Linked DNA regions of Arabidopsis thaliana. The protein of the gene in region 1 interacts with the protein of each later gene in a pairwise test. Each region holds a gene or a part of one and is shown in the gene's direction. Other genes may lie near its edges.

What was found.
Region 2: the proteins of AT3G53600 (region 1) and FBH4 interact in a two-hybrid assay, tested with the Arabidopsis thaliana proteins (one large-scale study listed by BioGRID).
Region 3: the proteins of AT3G53600 (region 1) and AT1G69170 interact in a two-hybrid assay, tested with the Arabidopsis thaliana proteins (one large-scale study listed by BioGRID).
Region 4: the proteins of AT3G53600 (region 1) and AT1G72210 interact in a two-hybrid assay, tested with the Arabidopsis thaliana proteins (one large-scale study listed by BioGRID).

What each region holds. Positions count from the first base shown.
Region 1 is NC_003074.8:19,873,710-19,876,711, forward strand, and holds AT3G53600 (C2H2-type zinc finger family protein), read left to right. Parts: upstream 1-1,665; 5' UTR 1,666-1,822; coding exon 1,823-2,350; 3' UTR 2,351-2,468; downstream 2,469-3,002. Other genes in the region: RAB8 (RAB GTPase homolog 8), read right to left, coding at 2,822-2,905. UniProt on the Arabidopsis thaliana protein: Transcription factor involved in stress responses. Positive regulator of the jasmonic acid (JA)- mediated signaling pathway. Triggers the up-regulation of LOX3, VSP2, PAL1 and PAL2 in a JA-dependent manner.
Region 2 is NC_003071.7:17,610,968-17,615,340, reverse strand, and holds FBH4 (basic helix-loop-helix (bHLH) DNA-binding superfamily protein), read left to right. Parts: upstream 1-1,749; 5' UTR 1,750-2,177; coding exon 2,178-2,625; intron 2,626-2,889; coding exon 2,890-3,146; intron 3,147-3,252; coding exon 3,253-3,432; coding exon of another isoform or gene 3,433-3,450; exon of another isoform or gene 3,451-3,545; coding exon 3,546-3,611; intron 3,612-3,695; coding exon 3,696-3,827; downstream 3,828-4,373.
Region 3 is NC_003070.9:26,003,251-26,007,871, forward strand, and holds AT1G69170 (Squamosa promoter-binding protein-like (SBP domain) transcription factor family protein), read left to right. Parts: upstream 1-1,817; 5' UTR 1,818-2,030; intron 2,031-2,199; 5' UTR 2,200-2,375; coding exon 2,376-2,884; intron 2,885-2,987; coding exon 2,988-3,124; intron 3,125-3,219; coding exon 3,220-3,791; 3' UTR 3,792-4,118; downstream 4,119-4,621. Other genes in the region: CRC (Plant-specific transcription factor YABBY family protein), read right to left, coding at 4,484-4,510, 4,590-4,621. UniProt on the Arabidopsis thaliana protein: Trans-acting factor that binds specifically to the consensus nucleotide sequence 5'-TNCGTACAA-3'.
Region 4 is NC_003070.9:27,177,700-27,182,988, forward strand, and holds AT1G72210 (basic helix-loop-helix (bHLH) DNA-binding superfamily protein), read left to right. Parts: upstream 1-1,758; 5' UTR 1,759-2,366; coding exon 2,367-2,834; intron 2,835-3,369; coding exon 3,370-3,768; coding exon of another isoform or gene 3,769-3,831; exon of another isoform or gene 3,832-4,473; coding exon 4,474-4,569; 3' UTR 4,570-4,757; downstream 4,758-5,289.

The sequences.
Region 1 (3,002 bases):
GATTAGATAACAGCAGGTGACAAATTTCCAGATATATTTGCTGCATCAAAATATTGGTAATGTGATTAATGATGAACGAAAAATAACATAACATACACTAACACATAGCTGTTCAGAACACCACTGAGTTGATAAGTTTTAGAACTGATTTTTCTTATATTTCTCTTTAAGTTTGATTTACAACAGATAGAAACAATTCATGAACAAACCAAATACAGAACAAAAAGTAGCCCTGGGAATGAGTTATAGAGCATCCCTTACCCTCCCAAGGCCAAGACCATCCAAAAATACCTGATAATCCCTATCTGTTTCTTTCCAAACTATATAGACCACTTGAGCAGCCATTCTACACAAGACACAAACTATAAAACTTTCTTCATGTCTTTATCATCCAATCTTTCTTTTTTGGGTTATCATCATTCACCACTGCCCAATTACTTAAGCTCCTCATAAGATCAATAAAGTCCTTTCTGATTCATACAAATGCAGTTGCTGCAAATTTGGTTGGAAATGTCAGAAAACCACTCAGCTCCAATAAGATGATCATCAAAAAAGTTTTGGATGAAACTAAAGATGACTGCTTTAGCCTTAAGGTGAAATGCAATGCATTGTAGCTACCATGCAGCTAATTTTCAAAGCTGGAACTAGTTTTAACAATTCTCTAGATGAAAGTAGCAGACCAACTGATATTGTTATAGATGGAACAAAATCGAGTAGAGAGGTCATATACATTCTGAAATCAATAGCATCCAAGGCGAGATGATTTCTGCAGTATTGGCTGATTAAACTATCCCTGACCCAAGTCTGGTAAGAAGAAGAAAAGACGGCGTCGCGCCTCCTTTGTCGGAGAAGAAGAGTCGAAGAAGACAAGCAAAGGCAACAAAGCAAAGAGAAGTTGGGCCGTGTGGCTTATTAAAAAGGTTATTGGGCTATAGTTAAGCCCATGTACTATTTGGGTTTTAGTTGGTTAAGTTTCAGGGTTTTTTTTTTTTAAAAAGTAGATTTCTACGATAAATGTGTGTGTGAAGATGTTGAAAGTTGAAACTTCATAAATAAGGTTCCTGAAGAATTCAACATTCTTGGTTGATCATATAATACTCTCTCACGATTGACAGTCCAAATGACTTTCAACTCTTTAATCTAAAGTCTAAACCACAATCTAAATCCGGTTTAAACGCAGTCACGATTCCATCATTGATGATGTCTTATATCACACACATAGATTAGGCCTTAGGGTATCAAATAGTGTTTTAGGTGAGAAAAGCAGTTGTCAGATTTTGATTTTTAAGAATGCAATCATTTGACTTTTAGTTTGACTTCCTTTTGGTTCTTCTTAGCCACTCTTTCTCATATTCTACACGTGCTCATTAACGTTCCAAAGTCAATAAAAAATCACGAAGCCAACAATAAAATGTGCAACAAATAATATTAAACATGTTAGACAGACGAAAGAGAATTATTCTTTATACGTATTTAACATAATGTGCCTTGTCGGTTACCAAACAAAATAAAATATGGCTTGTTAGTGGTCGGTAATATGTAACACGTTGTGTGTTTGTTGTCCTTGTCAAACCAGCAATGCTGCTTAATTTATTTAGATAGGAACCCAAGTTTAAAGAAGACTTTTTTTTTGGTCAAGTAAGAAAATGTCAAAACCTCTGAAACTTTCTTTATTTTGTTTATAAATACATTACTCCATGAATACGTTACAAAGATCTTAATCTCACAAGTCTCACATTTTCTAGGTGGACCAACCAAAACCCAAAATCTTTAATTCCCTCTATAGTGCTCTTTTCTCTTTTCGAAATACAACCGTAAAAACATGAAGAGAGACCGGTCCGATTACGAAGAATCCATGAAGCATATAGACATAGTAGAAAGTCTAATGATGTTATCTCGAAGTTTCGTGGTCAAACAAATCGATGTAAAGCAATCTACCGGAAGCAAAACGAACCATAATAACCACTTCGAATGCAAAACGTGTAACCGGAAATTTGATTCCTTCCAAGCTCTTGGAGGTCATAGAGCTAGCCACAAGAAACCTAAGCTGATCGTTGACCAAGAACAGGTGAAGCATCGTAACAAAGAGAATGATATGCATAAGTGTACAATTTGCGATCAAATGTTTGGGACCGGTCAAGCTCTAGGCGGTCACATGAGAAAGCATAGGACGAGCATGATAACCGAGCAATCGATTGTCCCTTCTGTGGTTTATTCCAGACCGGTTTTTAATCGTTGCAGTAGCAGCAAGGAGATCTTGGACTTAAATCTAACTCCATTGGAAAATGATCTTGTGTTAATCTTTGGGAAGAATTTGGTTCCACAAATTGATTTGAAGTTTGTGAATTAGTAGGGTTTTAAACCTTTCTCTGTACTTTTGTTGTTGTTTTTTTCTCTCTTGCTACACATTATTTCATTCTTTCCGTCATGTATGCATACACAATTTGTTTGAATAAAAGGTTTCAATTCTTGCAATGAGTGATAAAACATTAATAGTTGAAAGTTTGAAACAGAACCATTCTCGAATGTATACATAGAATCCAATATCATTGGTGTGTGAGTGAGATAAACTGATATTATCATAAGTCATAATCTGATGTCAGAGAATCCATTCCAGAAATATGGAATACGAATTGTGTCCTTCACAGTCACACTATACCATTAGGGAAAGAGAGAATCTTAAAAGAATACGTAGAAACACCATCTCATATAGAAGAAAAGCAAAAGAAGATTGATTTCCTTTTTCATTTTTTCTTTCCAAATACCATTTCTCTTTCACTAGCCAGATTCTCTCCTTTGACAGGCGTCGTGGACCCAATTTTTATGTGCCGCAACATGCTGATTTCTGAGTAGCTTGAGATGTTCCCGCACCTTGGTCGGATTGGTTGATTTTGATTGTTTGCGGCTACAAAAATGATAAGAAATTCGATGACGTTAGTAAGGTTGATACACATACTGAAATGTGATTTTTACCACAATTGCAATGTATGAATGATGACAGT
Region 2 (4,373 bases), on another chromosome or scaffold:
CCCATTCGTTAGTGATATAAAACAAAGTATCATCAGTATATAGCTAGTTTCGAGATAGTATGTACAACTTTTAAATATTAATTACCTATGCTTAAATAGTAATAGTATTATGTATGTGCATGTGCTTTGTACATACAATTTTGTCTTCTTGTTGATTAATTATTAAACAGCTCGAAGTTTTAAGACTATGTAGCTTAGCCTATGTCAATGTCATCAATCTATATGCAATATATATAGAGCCTCAGGCACATAAACCGTAGTCCCCATATAAAAAAGGGAATGAAACAGCTAATAACTCCATAGAGAATAAATTCACATTCAAAGCAAATTCACCACCCCAATCTTCTCAATGGTTCGGTTTCTTTTTTCAATTCTTACATTGTACTAAAAGCTAAAAATTCAGACTGATACGATACGAATAGGTTTTTGAAAATATAAAAATTAATCAATTTCCATTAAAGGGCTGAATAGCTAAAAACTCCATAGAGAACAAGTCGCTTTATTGGATTTAGATTTTAAAAAGACGGCGCTCGTGAATTATTAAAGTTTAAACTAAGATAAGATTTAAAGAGATTTAGAGGAGACGTAATCTGGTGTATATCGTTCACATAGAGTCACGTCACTGTATAATCCATCGACCACTAAGGTTTTAGAGTTTAGTTTCAAATCTTACTTTTTCATGCAGGTGTACCGTATGTCACACAGATTATAGTAGTCGCCAACTTACGTTCCCAATGGGTGATAACGGCGTCAACGTCCTCCGTCACGATCGTGTCGTAAGCTGTACACTGTATAGGTTCCGTGAACCTTAAAATCGGATTTGGAAAGCTACGTACGTACGTAAATATTGGTTAAAAAGTTCAAACAGTTTTGATCTCTCTTTTATTACAAACAAACTGTACTTCCGACAATTTTCTTTCTTTCTATTTCAAGTACGTTTTCGTGTCTAACTATATTAACATCTAACTTCTGACTTTTATACTCTGATGGGACAATCTTTAATTCTTAAATTCTAAGTTGTACCATGCGAATGGATATTAGATTTTGTCAGTACAATTGCTGACTATGAATGAAGTACTCTAACATCATTATTGGTTCCTGAATAATGAGTACTTAAACAAAACAAATTTGAAGTAACGTAACCATGACATATTAGATCCATGTCCCCTAAAACGTATTAAAATTATTTCCTTACGTCGTTAAATTTCGAATCTAGTGTTAAATTGTTACATTGGTTGTTAAACTACCGACCCAATAAAAAAAAAGAAACTAATATTTATGATTGGTGCATCTTGTTGTAAATTGTAATCGTATGGCCTACCAGCGATTTCATTGTCCCCAACATACAGATATTTTTGTTCGTGTGTTATAAATTAGGGTAGAAACATCACATATTTTACAGAGACAAAGAAAAAAACAAGAATCGTAATAAAATGATATTATGGATACATGTAGATTATAAGATGAGAAATAATAATTTGTCACGGGTCCATCAGTATACTCGTCAAAATTGATTAGGTAGGTAATTTACTTCACATGCTCTTCCTGTATACAAGTATAAAGTATGTATTTTCATCTAAAATCTACTCTTTTCTCAATTACATTTTATATAGAAAAATTCATATTCTTAAGAAATAGTAGTAAAATTGTTCTTGAAAAAAAATATGAAAAGGCATTTTCCGTGACTCAGCCTCACAGGCGGCTTAAAACGACGTCTTTTTCAATTTTAATAAATTTTTGGTAAAAAAGCTTTTGGATCCGCCGCTATCTTCAGCAATTAAAGTTGGACGCAGAAACTCAGAAGCAAAAAGACGATAAATATTCATCATCACCTTCATCTCTCTCTTCCTCTCATCAGACTTCACCGTTCTTCTTTCTCTCTTCTTCATCTTCAGACGAAACCTCCTTTACTTCCCCTTCAAGGTTTTATATTTCCCAAATCCTACACCTGCTCACATCTCAAGCTCAAGTTTTGTTTTCCCGGGAAAAGTGACACAAACAAGAACTTAACAAGGGAGAAGAAAAAGCTTATATTCATATCAACGGTTGACGTTGGAAAGCTATTAAGATTTGGTTTTCTACAAATTTGTTCTTCCTGAAACGTCACGAGACAGAGCTTACAAGAAGAGAAAACAGAGGAAATTTCGTTGCATTTTTTTTACATATTGATTCGATTAATGGATTCAAATAATCATCTCTACGACCCGAATCCCACCGGGTCGGGTCTTCTTCGTTTTAGATCAGCTCCGAGCTCTGTTCTCGCCGCTTTTGTTGACGACGACAAGATTGGTTTCGACTCCGATAGGTTGCTTTCAAGATTCGTGACCTCTAATGGCGTTAACGGAGATCTGGGTTCACCTAAATTCGAGGATAAGTCTCCGGTTTCGTTAACGAACACCTCTGTTTCATACGCCGCCACTCTGCCGCCACCGCCGCAGCTTGAGCCGTCGAGTTTTCTGGGTTTGCCGCCGCATTACCCGAGGCAGAGTAAAGGGATAATGAACTCGGTTGGTTTGGATCAGTTTCTCGGTATCAATAATCATCACACCAAACCAGTTGAATCTAATCTTCTCCGTCAAAGCAGCTCTCCAGCCGGAATGTTTACTAATCTCTCTGACCAAAACGGTACCGTTTTGCTCTCTGCTACAAAGTTTTTCCCCCTTTTTTTAGTCTGAAATATTTTTTTCATTTATAACAGAAGTGTTTTTGGTACTTCTTGATTCAACTTTTTTGAATGTTTTAACACTTGCTTCAAGATTTTTGAATGTTTTACGTTCCTTGAGAATAATTTTAAGACAAGATCTGATTTGATTTTGTCAACCATAGAGTTAAAGCACTTTGGACTCAACAAATCTAATAAGTGTTTACTATATACTTACAAATTTGCAGGTTATGGTTCAATGAGGAATTTGATGAATTACGAAGAAGATGAAGAGAGTCCATCTAATTCCAATGGATTAAGACGCCATTGCAGTCTCTCTTCAAGGCCACCTTCTTCACTTGGAATGCTTTCTCAAATACCTGAAATCGCACCCGAAACTAATTTTCCATATAGCCATTGGAATGATCCATCCAGCTTTATTGATAACTTATCCTCACTTAAAAGAGAAGCCGAGGACGATGGAAAATTGTTTCTCGGAGCTCAGGTAACTCGGTTATCTAACCGGTTTGTTTTGGTTATTGATCAGTAGCTGAAAGTGGAGTTGATTTCTTGGAGTGGTTTCTAATGATGTTTTTGATGGGTTTCTACAGAACGGAGAGTCCGGGAATCGTATGCAGTTACTGTCGCATCATTTGAGCCTACCAAAGTCATCATCGACAGCCTCGGACATGGTTTCAGTGGATAAGTATCTTCAGCTACAAGATTCTGTTCCTTGTAAAATCAGAGCCAAACGTGGTTGCGCTACACATCCTCGAAGCATCGCTGAACGGGTAACTTCACCTAGTTAAGGCCATCTTTACATATATCAATGGAAGTCCATTTGAAGCAGAATCTAGTTTGTTTTCAGAAAGCCTTTCCTAAGAAATCTTGTCAATTGTGTCAGGTAAGAAGAACGCGGATAAGCGAGCGAATGAGGAAGTTACAAGAGCTTGTTCCTAACATGGACAAGGTACAGTTTTCAGGAACTTCCTTGTAATGACTTTTGATCATAAACAAATTGTTAAATGATGTTGTTTTCTTTATGTTTTAACAGCAAACCAACACTTCGGATATGTTGGATTTAGCTGTGGATTACATCAAAGATTTACAAAGACAGTATAAGGTAAAGTTCCTGATCATTGTGGAAAAAAAACAAAGGGGCCTGTTTAGTCTTCTGTTGAATTGATTTAGTCTTCTGTTGGTTTTACACAGATTTTAAACGACAACAGAGCTAACTGTAAGTGTATGAACAAGGAGAAGAAGTCAATATAGGGCGCAACAAAGTGTGTAGTAGATAGGACTAAAAAGCAGGGAGAAGGACAAGAAAGAAACAATGTCATGTCTGAATATTTTTTAGCCGAAACAGACCAAATTGTCTATGTAAGCTCTCGAGAAAAGCATCTGCTTCCAACAAAATTCTAAGTAATAAAATAGTACTCGATTTGTTCTTATTTCATTATTACAATGCAGAATCTACTAATCAAATGTTGTACTACAAAAGGTAAGATCAACTACGGTAGCTAAATGCGAAAATTATGACCAGAAGAACAAAGAAAGACTCGAAAACTAAGCAGAAAACATAAATTATTCTTCCATGTGATCTGCAGCGTCAGAATCTTTGATATCACCAGTAAGACTACTCCTGGTCACAACCAAAGTAAGAATCACACATGAAGTAGAGTGTATACGACTTCTCTCCTGGTTCAGTTGGTACTGCAAACTCCAGCTACGA
Region 3 (4,621 bases), on another chromosome or scaffold:
TACATTGCTTTCTCCTATCATCTAATGGGTGGAGGGTCCAAACATGTGATTATCATAAAGTTGAGGTAATTATGCAAAGTAAAATTAATCTTACAAATAAAGACACTTAAAATAGTATGTTTGGAGTTTTGTTAGGTGAGATAATAACTAACGTCATATATGTTGTCACACATGTAATTTCAACAAATTTTTATTTATTATTCGATTTGGACCGATTATACTAAATTCAATTGCGTTTCGGTATTATTAGTCATGTGGTTAAAGAAAATTCCATGTGGTTAAAGGAAATTTTGTTTGGATCACAAAATATTTGGTTCAGTTTTTTTCCTTTTCTTATGTCTAATTTGAATAAAAAACAAACTCTGGTCTTCGATCTAAAATGTAAAGTTAGAACCTGAACTTTCTATCGTTCTCAAATACAATGATAGAAATCATGGCCAATCTTTTTGGTGCACACTCCATTGTCTGCACTCTGCACAGTAACTGTTACATCATGATTCATGGAATAGTATGTTTGAAATCTTTTGAGAGTTTTCGTGAAAATGGAAGAGACCCCGCTGGGCCGTAATTAATGGGCTTGAAATACGTCTTTGCTATGCTACGTAAATTGATGGACCTGGCTTTGCAAAATTGGAACCAACAAACAACTCTTTTTCACATATCCGTTTGTTTTAATTTTTTAACTTTTAAGTCTATGATCAGATTCAGATACACACATAATGTACGATCGAATATACTTACAACTTCTACATAGTAATATATGAGAACCGATCTAACTATATAAACTTAAAAAGTTATAATTTTACAGAAGAAGTATTAATAGCAAACAAGTGTTAAGTAATTAGGACTTAGCTTTAGATTCCATCACCTGAAAAGTGCGGTTGGTTGGCCAACAAGATATGCTCTGGCTCCCACCAAAAAGAAAAAAGAAAAGGGTTGATTTTGTAATAAAGCAAAAGGTTTGGGTAGCGTCAGAAGGCTTTGTCTACACACGCTCCACCACCAATCTCTTCAACTCGCTGATTCTCTAATATTTTATTTATTCTTTTTGCAACCCCAAAGTTTCTTTTTCTTTTGAGGAAACCCCCCCATACATTCTTCTTCTAACTTATGCTTTAATTTGGATATATATTCTTATTGAAACCGATTTATTTAAGAAGATTAAGCCCTTAAACAAATGTTTTCAAATTGCTATATAAAATACGCTTCCCCATGTTGTGTATTTCTTTTTTTTCTTAATCTTTACCATTTCAAAGCCGCCAACAAACAAAATAATTAACCAAAACGTGTTTGTTAGAATATAATCTAGAATATAACCCAAAATTATAAACTTTCGCTTTGGACGATGTTCATTGTGAATTCTAAATTCTTCATTGGTTTTGATTGTCGTCAACATATTTATATCATCATTTAACATTTGTTCGAGATAGTGTGAACACATAATTTTGGCTGTTCGTCTACAGTGTGAATACATGCCACATTGCCACCGTATTATTTGTATGTTATTTGTGACTCAACCAAGATTTTGTTTAGGTGCTGTTCCGAAAGCATCATCAAAAAAAAAAATGTGTACAAAGTTTATTAGGTTAGTTTTAACATAGCAATAACACTAAACTAAATAAACCTAAAATTAGTTTTATCACTAATTTTGATGGTAAAAAATAGGAGGCATGACGTCAACTTCTCCATTCTTAAATTCGATTTCTATAGAAACTTTTTTACTTCTACTTTTTTTTTTTGTTTTTTTACTTTTACTTGATCGAACAAAATAGTGTCGGAAAACAAACACAAATAAAATTTACAGGATGAAGAATAGAAAAAGAAAAAAAAAAAAGAAGCAAAAGAGAGAGAGAAGTGGAGAAGAAGATGGGTTTAGTGGAAATCATGTTGACCCCAAACAGTATCTGCTTCGACGTCACCTCTCACCTTATTCCTTCGATTCCCCATTTTTCACTTTTCTTATATTTTCTCCACCTCTCTGTCTCTTTTGCTTGCTTCCTATACACAGTTCTTCTCTGTTCCTCTAATCGGTAAGTCTTATTCTTCGATCCTCTGTTTATGATTTCGTTCACCTCAATTGCATTAGATGGAAGATAAGAAACTCGAAAATTTCGTCTTAATTTATTTGTTCCACTGATGATCATGTTGTGTGATTGCTTTCTTGATAAAGTATTGATTTTTATCTTTGTTTCTTGTTAGGGTTTGAATCTTTTCGTCAATTTCTATCTGGGTTTTGTGTTAATCGAAGGAATAAGTGAATCGTCGTCTTGGGTTTTCTCTATTTAGAAGAAAGCTTCCTCCTTTAGGGTTTCTGCATCAGTTATTGAATTGCTAGTTGTCGTTGAAGAAAGCAGAAATTGATTATAGTGTTGCTGATGGATTCTTGGAGCTACGGGAGAAGCGTTTTCATGTCAAATGAAACTCTTTTACCTTGTGATACTTTTGCTAAGAATAGAAGATTTGAACAGAGACTCTCTAATAATGATGATGTGTTGATTTCTGACATGGCTGGTAACTCCAATGGATTCAGTGCTGTTTCTATTACTAAAGTTGTTCCTGAAGAGGAAGATGAGGAGAACATATCTTCTTCTTCAAAGTTCTCTAGTCAGGAATTGAATAGGATAGATTTCAAACTTAGGAGCTTTTTGGATTTAGGAAATGATGATGATGATACATCCTCTAGAGGTTTTGCTCTGCCATCTAAAAAGTCTCGAGCTTCAAACTTGTGCTCTCAGAATCCCTTGTGTCAAGTTTATGGGTGTAGTAAGGATCTGAGCTCTTCGAAAGATTACCACAAAAGGCATAGAGTTTGCGAGGCTCATTCGAAAACTTCTGTGGTCATAGTTAATGGTCTTGAACAGAGGTTTTGTCAACAGTGCAGCAGGTTTTATTCTTTCTCCTCTCAAGTTGTCTCATGCTCTGTAGTCATTTCAATGTTCTTGATGGATCTTGATCGTTTGTTTCTTTTACCTTTTTCTTCTGTTCAGGTTTCATTTCCTCTCAGAGTTTGATGATGGCAAAAGAAGTTGCAGAAGGCGATTAGCCGGTCACAATGAACGAAGAAGGAAACCTGCATTCTATTTCCTACCGGGTAAGCGCCATAAGCTTCTTCGCACCTCTCAAGGTACTCACTCTCTGCCTTTTCCCTATCCATTGATGTATTGAATTAGCAAACTCGTGCAAATTTGAATCTATTCTGTATTTTATGATCTTCCATAGATGTAGTAGGCAACAAGTTTCTGGAGAATTCATCATTGGTATTGCCAGAGTCATTTCCTGGTAGTCTCTTATACAGAGTAATAGATGAAGACGACCACCGTACAAGTAGACTCGTGAGTTTCAAAGATGAACCTACTTGTTCCATGTTTCCTACTAATGAGCAAAACAGCAGCAGAACTTATGAATCTAAACCAGCAATTTATTCCACGGAAGTATCCTCCATTTGGGACTTACATGAGACGGCGGCATCACGCTCTACTCGTGCTCTCTCTCTTCTGTCAGCTCAGTCCCAACAACACTTGTCTAAGTTTCCAAACACAACGTTCTCAATCACCCAACCCAACCAAAATCTCAATCACTCATCATCAACTGACTATCATCAGATGGAACAACCGTTGTGGATCGATCCTGGCAAGACCAATTCTGCTGGTTCTAGTTCTTGTAAAGGAAAAGGAACATCCACGGTTGATCTACTGCAACTGTCATCACATCTTCAAAGAATCGAGCAACAGAGGAATTACACTGGTGATGTGAAGCAGGAATATAATGAGCTTTATTTCCCTGGCTCCTAATAAAAGGTTACAACATTCTTATTCCTTTAAACCGGTTCGAGTTTCTTGAGATTGTTCTGCAGAAGGACAAGACAAGCCTGCATGGCTTGATTAGTTTGTGATTAGATAGAGGAATTAAGAGGATCAGATCATGTTACACGTATTATTGTAATTTGTAACTGTTGTGTTATTATTCACCAGTCAATAATGTTCTGAAGAAAATTGCTTCAGATATCTATGCCTACTTCCTTTTCACAGCGTTACAGACAATTTGTATATATACATGTAATGAATATTCGCTGAAAAAGTGAATTTTTACTTTTGTTTTGTTTTGTTCTGTACACTCACGTCATCTGAGGACTGATCTGAGATTCTCGAGTTCGAAGTTACGATGTTGAAAGTTGCAAATCATTGGGGAAAAGAAAAAGTGTCCCAGATGGAATTAAGGAATACGCATATAAAATTTTGATAGGATTAAGACAAATAAAGACCAGACATAAACGTCCAAAGGGACATAGCAAGTGACGTTACTTTCAAATCTAAAGACAGACAGAAATATAAAGTCATAAAAACTAAGGCAACATCATTTTCTGCAACATGACATACATAAGAAAATTACACAGAAGAACAACACAAGATGAGAAAAACGACGCAGCCACTCGCACACGTGCATGCGTTTGTTATTTTTAGGCTTCTTTTCCCCTGAGTTTTGTTCACTTCTTCTCACCGAATCCCAAGCCCTAATTGAACAAAACATTTTAAATCTTTATATAATGTATATAAATATGTCCTTATGCAGACTTAGTTTGTATAGCTTACATGGATCATGTTGTGGCCTCCGGAAGTAATGG
Region 4 (5,289 bases), on another chromosome or scaffold:
AGACAAGAGTATCATAGCCTTAGATTTATTTTCCACCGTGTTTCTAAATAGTGGGATTCTTTCGAGTTTCGATCAAATGATTTTTCGCTTAGATTTCGTTTTGCATCACATATTTAAGTTGTTGCTTCCCTCTATTGGTTAAAGCGACCAAACAACTTTGTTACACAGCAACCCTAAGTCGTGTCATAGCCATCTAATTCTCACATCTTCTATACCGCATAAAAGTTCGATAATTATTAATTAGACTAATGGAAAGATGCCACCTAGTTAATATACAAATTAAGTTGGGATATCGTCTCTTATTCTTACATATGTCAACATCAAGAATACTTTGTTTTAAGCATGACATGATTACATTAATAAAGCATTACCCCACACGCCGAAATGTTATTCTTATTTTTATCCGTGAATTTTTTCTATGATCAAATTTGTCCGTCTAAGTGGATTGAATGCAAATGTGAGTGTTTAATTCCCATCATCAGTTGGAAGATCAGGGATTCTTTTTGTACAAGATTGGAAGATCAGGTTTTTGAGTTGAATATGGTTTGATCATCATCATTTTACGAACATTCGAAACTTGCATAGTCGAGTAATTTTTATCTCTCAATTTCTGTTTCTTAATCAATATCCACGTAAGTTTTTTTTTTTTTTTTTTTTAAACAGTTGTTTTTAAGTATCAAAGACATGGGAACCAGACAGTTGAAAATATATTTTTAAGACAAATTTACATATTTTAAATGTCTTCTAATCTTAATATTTTAAATGTTTTCTAATATTATCTTGTTTTAAAAAAAGAACACATATTTTCAAATTATATGATATTGTTGTTACTATTATTTCTTTTTTTACTATAAATTTTGTGACAATATATATATATATATATATATATATTAACCATTTTTCGGCGGTATAAAATAGTTTACCACCGAGTAATTGCATTCAATCGCACGACCAACAAGTTATAGTATTATTCACTTTGCCCCAAACTAAAAGTTTATTTTAGAAAATTCATTAACAGTAAATTTCATTTCCTTCAAAATACATTTTTGTTCTGTTTTTATTTATTTATTTAATATATTAACATTTATCATGTATGATGATTGATGAAGATGATTTTCTCAACATTTCTCTCCTTTTTTTTTTGTCTCTCAACATTTCTCTCCTATATAAAATTTAAACTATTGAACGAATGTTACTGCTACGAAATTATAATATTTACTCTAAGTTGTCATCAGGATTCTATTACTTTAAAAGCCAAAATTTACTAATCAAAAACTAGTTGATAGATTGTAAAATTAATTAAGCACATTTATTGATTTAAAATTTATTTTTTACTCTACAAATCGTGATTTCCAAGAGTTGTATCTATATAAAGGCAATATGCTTTCGGACCCATGCATGGTCTTGATGTTTTTTTACGGTTATTCCATTACGGGTAGGGTTATGTGATAAACGATATGATTTCATATAAAAAGAATAAATCAGCGGTCATTGTCTCCGCATGGTTCGGGGAAAAAATACTCGTATAAATAAGCCTTTAGATTTCGAATTTATAAAGCTTTGACGTCGGCTGATACATAGAAACAAAAAAAAACTTTGATGTCAAGCTCTCTTTCCTCTTCCTGTCCATCAATACGCGTTACACACGCACAATAGAAGCAAATTATTGTTTGAATACCTAAAAGAGGATAGACGACATAATTATCACCGCAAACACTCTAAATTTTGGGATATAGCTTTCATTAGATTACATTTTGACTCACATGGTATACGGCAAAAAAATATTAAATTCATGGCAACGTATAAAGTTGATATTTCAACATGTTATAATTTCTCTCTCTTCGAACATGAGTGTAACAAGACGAACCCCAAAGCCTGCAAAAACACACAGAATCTTTTCTTTGGTTTTGTGGACCGGTCTACAATCTCACGTGCAAAACCAAACATACACGATCTCTCTCTCTCTATATCTCTACTTTTTCTGAACTCAGTTGGTTTCGATTTTCTTCGGACCTTCTATTGTTAAATCAGCTTTATAACCTCACAAGCTTCTCCTCTATTCCATAGATCAAACCACAACTTTGTTTGACCTTTTTTTGAGTACTTCTCTTGTCTTTTCTTCTTCAAGTTTACTTAGTTCTTTGAGAACAAATTTCTGTTGATTTTTTTTCTTTCTTGTAGAGGGATAATTACAAGTTTAATTTCCCTAGAGTGTCTTTACCTTTTGCCTTGTCTCCCTCTCGAGACAAAAAGAGAAAGAGAAACACTTTCTGTCCTCTTTTTTTTTCCTCTCTTTTTCTCTCTCGCTGGAAACCTTTTCATATTCAAGTGTAATTTTAATATTTCAAGCAATTTTCTAGCTAATTATGGCCTTGGAGGCTGTAGTTTACCCGCAAGATCCGTTCTCCTACATCTCTTGCAAAGATTTTCCGTTTTACGACTTATACTTTCAAGAAGAAGAAGATCAAGATCCACAAGATACTAAGAACAACATTAAGCTAGGGCAAGGACAAGGACATGGTTTTGCGAGTAATAATTACAACGGTAGAACCGGAGATTATAGTGATGATTATAATTACAACGAAGAGGATCTCCAATGGCCACGAGACCTTCCTTATGGATCTGCCGTCGACACCGAGAGCCAGCCTCCACCGTCGGATGTGGCGGCGGGAGGAGGGAGGAGGAAAAGGAGGAGGACGAGGAGTAGCAAGAACAAAGAAGAGATCGAGAACCAGAGGATGACTCACATCGCCGTTGAAAGAAATCGCCGGAAACAGATGAACGAGTACCTCGCCGTTCTCCGGTCTCTCATGCCACCTTATTATGCTCAAAGGGTTAGTCTCTACATACAACAGTTATATGTATATGTGAGTGTGAGCGCGTGAAATATTCAGTCCTTTAGCTGTATTTCTTGACGTGTCAAAAAAAAAAAAAAAAAGCAAAGCCTATGTTCTAGGCTTTCAGCTAATTAGGACATGCATAGGCTATACATAGATATGTCATATGCATGTATGTTTATATGTTTTGAAATATAAATTTGAGAATGATGATAGATGAATGAAAGCCGTTATATATATTGACAAAAAATAAAAACTAAACGAAAGTCGTTATTTCTTTTTTTCATAATTTTATTAGATCATGTAGTCTCTAAATGAAAATTTTGTTAGTGGAATTGTGGGAGCATAAATAAAGTCTTGAACATCATTGCACCCAAAAAGGACTATACATATTATAGATTTATAATGAGATGGTGACATAATATATTTTTTAAAAAATTAAGGTACGAAATATAGACATGTTTGATTGTTTTTGCAAAACCTTTTGCAATTTCTATGTGCTAGACTAACATAAGGTTGGTGGTGGTTAAAGGGAGATCAAGCATCGATAGTAGGCGGAGCCATTAACTACTTAAAGGAGCTTGAGCATCATTTACAATCAATGGAACCTCCGGTTAAGACCGCCACAGAAGACACCGGAGCCGGCCACGACCAGACCAAAACAACCTCGGCTAGTTCGTCGGGACCATTCTCGGATTTCTTTGCATTTCCTCAGTACTCGAACCGGCCTACCTCTGCGGCGGCGGCTGAGGGGATGGCGGAGATAGAGGTAACGATGGTAGAGAGCCATGCGAGTCTGAAAATACTTGCGAAAAAGAGACCGAGACAGCTTCTTAAACTGGTCTCATCGATACAGAGCCTAAGGCTCACTCTTCTCCATCTAAACGTCACAACTCGAGACGACTCCGTCCTCTATTCCATCAGCGTCAAGGTACATTTTTTTCTCTCTTTTTCACCATTTTTTGTTTTTTTTTTCCTAACCAGATTAGAGTGATCATGTTATATAATACCGTTGTTTAGGGTTAGTGGGTTGAATTTGCAAATTCAAATTAAATTGGTATCTAATAATTAATGGGTGACTAATCATTACTCCCATTGTTGGTTTTGGTTCAATGATTATTCATTGATTGTTTTTCCAATCACAAATGTTTTGTGCATTTAATGTGTCTCTTATTAGTACATGTTGTGAATTATTTGTCTGGGCCAAAAAAGGTTTTCCAAGAACAAAAATAAAAATCGTTCCTTTTTTCTCGTTCTTTTTTACTTGGTTAGGGCTGGCCTCAATTATTGGGGGGTCAAAATCATCATTTCTTATTTATTAAAAAAGACAAAATTTTGAGTACTATCATAATATTGATTCTTGTAAGAATCAGGGACCAAAAAGATGACATATGCCTACACATGTGTGAATGTGTGTATATATATATGTGTACTGGGCATGTTTGGTGGTCACAACACTGTGGATGCACTGTGCACGGCAGAACGAAATGACGCCACTTGTTTCAGGACACATTCATAAGCTTCTTCCTCGAAATATAAACATTTTCTTTAATCATCTTTTTACCTTTTCAATGACTATATATCAATCTTTTTCATGTAACTTAAAAGAAAATATTAAAATAATGGGTTTATTCAGGTTGAAGAAGGGAGCCAATTGAATACAGTAGAAGATATTGCAGCAGCTGTGAATCAAATCCTAAGGAGGATCGAAGAAGAGTCATCCTTTAGCTAGTATTGTTGAATTTTAGTTATGGCACATTTAGAGGAGCTCTAATTTTTCATGTGTGATCTTTTGCTCTCTCTTTTTCATATATTAAATAATATAAATTTCCTTTTTCTTTTTGTTAACGTTAATTCTAATGCATTATATATTGGAGTTTTTGTGTGATTGACCTTTTAGACCTGATCACAAAAGAGGAACTAGCTTTTAAGAGCTCTATACGAGAATAGTAATTATAAGCTTGAGCAATTGAATTTTCCCACACATAAAAAAAAGGCTTGAACAATTTGACTGGTTATGAGATAGCTGAAAAAAATTCAACCACACTTATATAAATATACCGGTATGAGTCATGTGAAGGCGTCCCTAAAAGACTCGGTATATCGTGAATAACCGGCTTTGCACGGTTCGTTTAAGAAGGAATTAGTTAGAATAGTATATTTTGTGAAGTAATGTCTAAATATGCGCTAATTAAGAAAAAAGTTTGATGAGACTCTCATGGTCTGAATCAGATGTTTTGAACACCCATGACATCTAAGACACCCGCAAAGGGCCACATATACGATCGTAAATAATAATCTAGTCTGGGGTCGGAGAACACTTAAGTTCTAATCGGAGAGACTTTTCAGACTCAATCCACCACTAGTTTTTGGGTAAGCAAACATAGTTTAAAACTATATTTGCACATTCGCAAAAGGGAGATCCCTTTCCAAAGAAACACATTGAAAATTC